2 linked regions of the Saccharomyces cerevisiae S288C genome follow. The protein of the gene in region 1 binds, or shares a complex with, the protein of each later gene. Each region holds a gene or a part of one and is shown on either strand. Other genes may lie near its edges. A codon is read from its position in the direction of its gene.

Region 1 (3,753 bases):
TTACCTAAATGGATACCATTCTTCGTGAAAAAAATTGAGCCATCGATAAAATTTATGCCACAACCAATAACGTCATCCCTACCAAAAGGCTTAGCATATTCCTTAGATTGTTCTGTAGAATTAGTTATCAAACCGTCAAATCCGCAATAGCCAAATACATTAAGATCAAATCCGTATTTCTGACACTTATTTATGGAACCATCCACGTTAAGAGACATGGCTGAAACGCCCCCTTCATAAATATAATCACGCCTTTGAGTACCTTCCATAGTGAAAGAAGTAGAAGGTACTCTATTGGAACTCATGTTATTACTACCACCTAAGCTACTACTAGAACCGGCCACGCTTGAACGAGAAACACTCTTTTTTGTAGTCGCTTCCATTAATTCATTCTCTACTAACTTGTATCCGATAACAATGTTACTATTTTCAGCACTCTCTGTACTCGTTACACTGAGAACTTTAATCTCGTAATAGAATATAGTTAACTTATTGTCTGGCAATGACTTATTTGCCCAAGTGACTGCAAAGTCCACTTTCCCAGAGTTCTCAAAAGAGGTTCTCAGTCTATTTCTGGTAGAGGCAGAAGAAGCGCTTGATCTTTCATAAGTCATGTATGAGTGATAATCAGGATTAGGTTGTAAATGAGTAATACCATCTTGAGATAGCTGCAAGCTGTTATTTGGTTGAGCTTGCCATCTAGAAGGTAAAAAGTACCCAAGTATTTTGTAAATATCAGGGATCATTGAGTTTTTCTTTTTGCTACCACTGTTGGACAAAACATTTGTTGCCTCATTGTCATTTTTGTCGTTACCAGACGATACTCTAGGAGAAGAAAAGGAAGAACTTGGAGACTGATCAGGGGGGTAGTATTGTAGACCACTGTTCTTGTCAGATGTATCCCACAAATTCCTTGATTCTGTTTCTATATTAATAGCTGATCTAGATCTTTGATATATCCATGGGTCCGCAACCCTTTCGGCACGCTGCTGTGCACTGGACACATCAGCATCAGCTCCTCTACTTCCTTCTTCTCCACCTTCCTCGTGATTGTCAGAGCCATCTCCTTCGTTGTTATCGTCCGTGTCAGTATCCACTTCCCCTTCTAAGCTTTCCAGATCGGATTCATCGTCGTCGTCGTCATCGTCATCGTCATCATCGTCATCATCATCATCGTCATCATCATCGTCATTTCTGTCATTTTCCAGGCTGGTATTAGAGTTAAGCGCCATTTCACGTTCGGATAAAACGGGTTCTAATAGTTCCTGAGCATTTTTCCTCATGTCTGAGGAAGCTTTCATAACTCGCACTGAATTTTTATTTGAATCTTTAACACCAAATCTCAAAGTAAAATCATTAACGTCTGGATAGAAATATTTATAGACTTGAATCAGGTAATCGTCGTTGACAGCTTCAAACGAAATTGTGCCTAGAACACCCAAATTCATCAATTTAGACCAGATTTCTTTCCTTGTTAAAGCAGTTAACTTTGTCCTGCCCATTCCAACGCCAGTGGGATTTTCATCAGCGTTGATTAAGTTAGTGTTCTTCAGTTTGTGAAAGAGTTTTCTATGTTGCAAATATAAAATCCATAAATCATAAGCCACAGGCTGTTGCAGCAAGTAGCTCGGGAACAAACAGTTAATGAATTCGCGGTCTACGTCATCCATATATTCAGACATTTCCTCTTAATTATGCTGAAATTCGACGCTTGGCTTTAACGTACTACTAATATTTCTGCTATAACAGTAACAGTTCTGGTCCAATCCTTTGGCTCTTTCTTTTGGTTGATCGATTCATCAGTTCCCTCCCCTGAAAGGCTCGCGCGTCCTGTAATCTAGCAAAAATAGGCAGGATACAAAATACAGTGGAGTGGTAATATTATATTCTTATATGGCTATATATGTTTATATATAAAGGTAAAGACAAACAATAAAGAACATACATATATATATAGATAGATATTGTGTGTGTGTGTGTGTGTGTGTGTGTGTGTGTGTATAGCAAGCGCATGAATTTCATCACAATGTCATGGTAATGGTTGTGGTGATGGTCGAAGTAGAGGTGTAGGATACGTCTTCTTCGTCTTCTTCTTCCTGTTGTCGTAATAGCTCCTGCTGCCTTTGGAACTCTTCTGCTGCAGCTTTTTCACGCTCTTTTCTTTCACGTTCCTTTCTTTCACGTTCCTGAAATTGCAGGTTGGCTTTCGATCTTAGAATATACAAAAACTCACCACTCTCTTGAGTGAACGATAATATCTTCTTTTGCACTTTTTGCCTAAACGCGTTAACACGGGATAAGTCAGCGGAATGGTGAGCCAGCTTGTCTCTAGATTCTATGATCTGTTTCTTGCCCTTCAAAAACTTCTTCCAGTTAACAGAAGACTTTGCTTTCTCTTCATCAAGCGTAGTGTCATCATCTGCACCCATGTGAGCGTTGATAACATCCACATAAGCCATTCTTTTGGACCATTCATTTACAATGATATCACCCCATTCTTCAAATACCTCGACGTTTTCCTCTCTAATTGCATTAACTTTTTTTTCAATTTCATCAGTGATTTCGCTCAAATCTTTCTCCATAGCATTTGTCAGTTCGTCTAACGTCGAGCGCGTCTCGTTGAAGTACTCACGAACTAACTCTCTCGTTATGTACTGAGAAATCTCAGTACTTCCAGATTTATCGAAGAAAATTTTCTTGCCAGTTTCACTATCAATGCCTTCCACACATTCAATATCGTTAATGGCTAGCGAAATCTTGGAGAAGAACTTCTTAGATTTATCATCTAAAGATTGAAACTTGGCTTTAAAATGGTTGGCCTCCTCAACCAATTTACCATTGATGTATTTGGAAACATCCTTTTCAAATAGCTGTATGACGTCTTGTGTTTTCTGCAATATAGTCTCACTCCACATGTCAAAATCCTCTTGCAACAGAGCCTGTTCATTGACATTGACGTCTGTGGAGCCTTCAACGTCTGTGGAAGCCTCATCGTCGTGCGCATGATTAGCAACAGCGCTAGCCTCTTCCTGGTCCAAAGTAATTGTTTCAACCACTGTTTGAGTACTTGTTGTAGTTAGCTCCTCTTCGTCAGACTCCATAGTACTTACGGTTAAAACCATGTCCTCCGAGGAAGGCTCACGTGTGACAGAACCATGAATGCCATGCGTGTCCTTATTCTTGAACTTTCCCATTAATTTTTCCTCTGTATTACCAACAATAAAGTCGTATTTGGATTTGATGCATCTTGAAGTGATAGTAAAGTAATAATGGCCTATATTTTTATACTTTAAAATTCTTTCCTTCAAATGAGAGCGAAACTCCGCAGTAAAGAATTTGTCTAAGTTAGGTTTCACAAAAGCATTGTATTTTGCGAAGAAAAATCGTCTAGTCTTGACCATTGGGGAGCGGACCAATTGGTAATACTTTCCACAGTTCCATTTCTTACATTGTGAATGGATGACCTTGAATGCAGGCTGTATAGCGACCTTGTTCACTTTTACTGTAGCGTCATCGATGACAGGTTTGACAGCCGTGTCATATTTACGCGCCACTATATCGAAACCGGGACTAACTTTATTTTTGTATAATTCACAATTTCTTGAAAAGTAGGTGTTCCAGACTCTTGGATTGGTATAATGGCAAAGCGTTTGCGTGCGTTCACACGATATGCTCCCACTATTGAATTCGCAACAGTACTGAAGCAACGATACCAACACCGTCAGAGTTGTGATTAACTTTATCAGCTTTCCC
Region 2 (3,753 bases), on another chromosome or scaffold:
AGACTCTTGCTGCTTCAACTGTTGCTGCTCTTGTTGTCTGTCAGTAAGTAAAGAAGCCAGACGGTTTTCGATGGTTGTGATATGATTTTGTAAAGAATGGAAATTCTGAGTAGCAATACTCTGCCTGAAATGGGTAGAATTTGATAAAGATTTCAGTTTAGCTAATTCATCCATAGTAGATTGAATGTTTAGATCATTTGCTGTAGTGGTAAGTTCGTTGTTTTCAAAATGTTTAGAAAATGAAACTACCCTGTTAATTTCATGACAGGAACGTTCATCAATATTGTCCAGCACTTCATTCTGATTCGAGTTTACGGGTTTATCGTTATTAATGTTATCAGTACCAATGCCATTATTGGTTTTATTGTAAACTGGTACTTGTTGGAAATGAATATCAGTAGCAACAGGAGCATGCATTTGAGGGTGAATATTATTTAGCTGAAAGTGAGAAATATTGGGCGGCATGTGGGGATCCGGTATGATGCTGACCAGCCGCTGAGGAGCAGAAGGAATTTGGTGTGTATTTCTATAATGTGAGTTGTTGGATATTTGAATATTAACGGCGGGAAGAACAGAATTAATGTTGTTATTTTTTATAGTGTTGTTACTATGGTTGTTGTTATCATTATTGTTGGGATGATGATAGTAGTATGCGTAGTTGTTGTTTGCGCTGTTTATATGGGCATTCGGTCCATTATAATGCTGCAAGGGTAATGGAGAATTTATAGTTACAGTAGAATGCAAAGGATCTACTCTCGGAGCAGAATGGTCAAAAACAAGTTGTGGAGGACCGTATGTGAACCCGGGCAGTGCTTGTGGCTGTGTTTGAGAGAAGGGGTAGATATTGGGGGCTTGCATCTCGATGAAATTTTTTGAGACAAGTCGTAAAAGCCCTTTATTAAAGTGAAAACAAACAATTCACTATGAACGAAAACAATATTAGAGCAAAGGAAATCACTAAAAGTAGATGGAGAAAATAAAAAAACGCCGTGAACGGAAATAGAAGAAATATGAGGGGACGCAAGGAAGTAAAAGGACCAGGAAAGAAAAAATCCTCCTTCAATATATACCAAGATATACAAGAAACTGAAACTCAAAAAATAACTTTTATACAAGATTGCCGACACGAAGAAAGGAAACGATAGCCGAATGTCTTAATGCAATAACAACTGCATTAACAATTAAGCAAATTTAGGAAATTTGCTTATAACCTTATATTTCAAAATAACCGTTGAGTTTTAGCTTTTGCACAATTCCGCGCCGGGCCCCGCGCAGGGAAAATCGCAGCAGCCGGAAAAACCGCCATCCAGCACCTTCAGTTGGGGAAAGCAAAGCAACCGAACGAAACTATATCTGAGATAAGGGCGGTGCAAAAAGAATGTGAAACCACGCTTGAAAAATGAAGTCACGGTTACACTATCTCCAACTCTGCAGGGTACAGTGCTTCTGATCGTGCATCCTTTTGTGGTCTGGACCAGCGTCGACGCGGCGACAGAAGTAGCGATGTTTCGCAGTGATAGACGCGTAGCGGTACAGGCCTGCGGCGGCTGTTGTGCGGTGACGTGCCCATGACTCAACAAAAAAATAAAAATAAGCAAACGGAAAAACCATATTAGTTCCCCTTTCTGCTGCTCCTACTCCTGTGCGTTTTCTCTTGCGCTCCTTTTTTCCCTGTTTTATTTTTTTTGTGTTTTTCGCTCGGCTTGGGTTTGTGTGTACGGCCCTTTTTGGGATCCCGGAGTTTATTTGACTGTTGTCCGGATCCGTTCCGAGTGAATGGTAATCGCTCCATTGTGTTGCTGTTTATCACTATCAGTGTCGATCTCGCTTTCCTGACTCTGCCGGCGCGGTGCCCCGGTTCGTTGCAGGAGACATTTTGATGGTACATCATTTTTCTTGAAGCTAACATGTGTAATTTGGTCATTAAATTGCAAGCAAAGGGGCAGTAGAGACAAATATCAGCCGGATGAAGATATATTTGTGTGTGGTAACAAATAGAAATGACTATATCTACTCTTAGTAACGAGACCACGAAGAGCGGATCTTGCAGCGGCCAAGGCAAGAATGGTGGGAAAGACTTTACGTATGGAAAGAAGTGCTTCACGAAGGAAGAATGGAAGGAGCAGGTGGCCAAGTATTCTGCCATGGGCGAGCTATATGCAAATAAGACAATACATTATCCGCTGAAAATTCAGCCCAACAGCAGTGGCGGCTCGCAGGACGAGGGATTTGCTACCATACAGACCACACCCATAGAGCCCACACTGCCACGGCTTCTGTTGAACTACTTTGTTTCTATGGCATATGAAGACTCGAGCATTAGGATGGCCAAGGAGCTGGGATTTATACGGAACAACAAAGACATTGCGGTTTTCAATGATTTGTACAAGATCAAGGAGCGTTTCCATATCAAACATCTTATTAAGCTGGGGCGTATCAATGAGGCGATGGAGGAGATAAACTCTATCTTCGGGCTGGAGGTGCTGGAAGAGACTTTCAATGCTACGGGAAGTTATACGGGTAGAACTGACAGGCAGCAGCAGCAGCAGCAGCAGCAGTTTGACATAGATGGAGATTTACACTTCAAACTGCTGTTACTGAATTTGATCGAGATGATAAGAAGTCACCATCAACAGGAGAACATCACCAAGGATTCCAACGACTTTATACTCAATCTAATTCAGTATTCTCAAAATAAACTTGCAATAAAGGCTTCGTCAAGTGTCAAAAAGATGCAAGAGTTAGAATTAGCAATGACTCTGCTGCTTTTCCCCTTGTCAGATTCGGCGGACAGCGGCAGCATTAAGCTGCCCAAATCGTTACAAAATCTGTACTCGATATCTCTAAGATCTAAGATAGCAGATCTGGTTAATGAGAAGCTGCTGAAGTTTATTCATCCAAGGATTCAATTTGAGATCAGCAATAATAATTCCAAATTTCCAGATTTGTTAAATTCCGACAAGAAAATAATTACGCAGAACTTCACGGTGTATAACAACAATCTCGTCAATGGTTCAAATGGTACAAAAATAACTCACATTTCGTCTGACCAACCTATCAACGAAAAGATGTCAAGCAACGAGGTCACGGCTGCTGCTAATTCAGTTTGGCTAAATCAAAGGGATGGAAATGTTGGCACAGGTTCAGCGGCGACAACTTTTCATAACTTAGAAAATAAAAATTACTGGAATCAAACTTCTGAATTGCTTTCCTCTTCAAATGGAAAGGAAAAAGGTTTAGAATTCAATAATTACTACTCTTCCGAATTTCCCTATGAACCAAGATTGACGCAGATAATGAAACTGTGGTGTTGGTGCGAAAATCAGCTTCATCACAACCAAATAGGGGTTCCTAGGGTCGAAAACTGACATACATAGTACGTATATATTTATATATGTGTGTGTGCGTGTGCATGTGTGAGTGAGTGTGTGTGTGTGTGTGTGTGTGTGCCTACCTGCATGTATGCATTTAGCAATTGATTTTTCTTTTTTTTTTTTGGAAGCTTTCATAGTATGAATTCGCATTTTATCGTGTTTCCCGTATCAATCTTCAGGAAACATAATTGAACATCATCGATATTCAATGGCAGTAGTTCATCTTTATGATTGTAAATTTTGACACCGTTGGAAATCGTAAACTTTCTTGCCCCTTCACCGCCCTCATTCTTAATTATATCGCGATATATTTCGCAATCTTTAAAGTAGTGGTAAAGTCTCAGCCTCAATACACGCAAGGTAGTACCAAACTCAGGTC

Evidence for each region. Proteins that work in one complex are often made in the same cells at the same time.
Region 2: the proteins of VID30 (region 1) and GID8 are in contact, whole or in part, in a cryo-EM structure (PDB 7WUG), measured with the Saccharomyces cerevisiae proteins. Residues at the interface, in NP_011287.1 of Saccharomyces cerevisiae: Leu35 (codon at 1,580), Glu528 (codon at 101), Tyr529 (codon at 98), Ala530 (codon at 95), Lys531 (codon at 92), Ile557, His558, Leu559, Gly560, Lys603, Trp604, Ser606, Leu607, Tyr609, Glu610, His611, Ile612, Cys613, Arg614, Leu681, Gly682, Glu683, Asp684, Arg686, Phe687, Leu692, Val693, Arg694, Pro695, Val697; in NP_013854.1 of Saccharomyces cerevisiae: Phe27 (codon at 2,079), Thr28 (codon at 2,082), Tyr29 (codon at 2,085), Lys31 (codon at 2,091), Lys32 (codon at 2,094), Cys33 (codon at 2,097), Phe34 (codon at 2,100), Lys36 (codon at 2,106), Trp39 (codon at 2,115), Gln42 (codon at 2,124), Val43 (codon at 2,127), Tyr46 (codon at 2,136), Ser47 (codon at 2,139), Gly50 (codon at 2,148), Leu52 (codon at 2,154), Tyr53 (codon at 2,157), Pro84 (codon at 2,250), Glu86 (codon at 2,256), Thr88 (codon at 2,262), Leu89 (codon at 2,265), Pro90 (codon at 2,268), Leu92 (codon at 2,274), Leu93 (codon at 2,277), Tyr96 (codon at 2,286), Phe97 (codon at 2,289), Tyr102 (codon at 2,304), Glu103 (codon at 2,307), Asp104 (codon at 2,310), Ser105 (codon at 2,313), Arg108 (codon at 2,322).

The regions. Positions count from the first base shown.
Region 1 is NC_001139.9:67,600-71,352, reverse strand, and holds the start of VID30 (glucose-induced degradation complex subunit VID30), read right to left. Parts: upstream 1,683-3,753; coding exon 1-1,682. Other genes in the region: SHE10 (She10p), read right to left, coding at 2,022-3,753.
Region 2 is NC_001145.3:538,304-542,056, reverse strand, and holds GID8 (glucose-induced degradation complex subunit GID8), read left to right. Parts: upstream 1-2,000; coding exon 2,001-3,368; downstream 3,369-3,753. Other genes in the region: GAT2 (Gat2p), read right to left, coding at 1-858; ERG29 (Erg29p), read right to left, coding at 3,506-3,753. UniProt on the Saccharomyces cerevisiae protein: Component of the GID E3 ligase complex recruiting N termini and catalyzing ubiquitination of proteins targeted for degradation.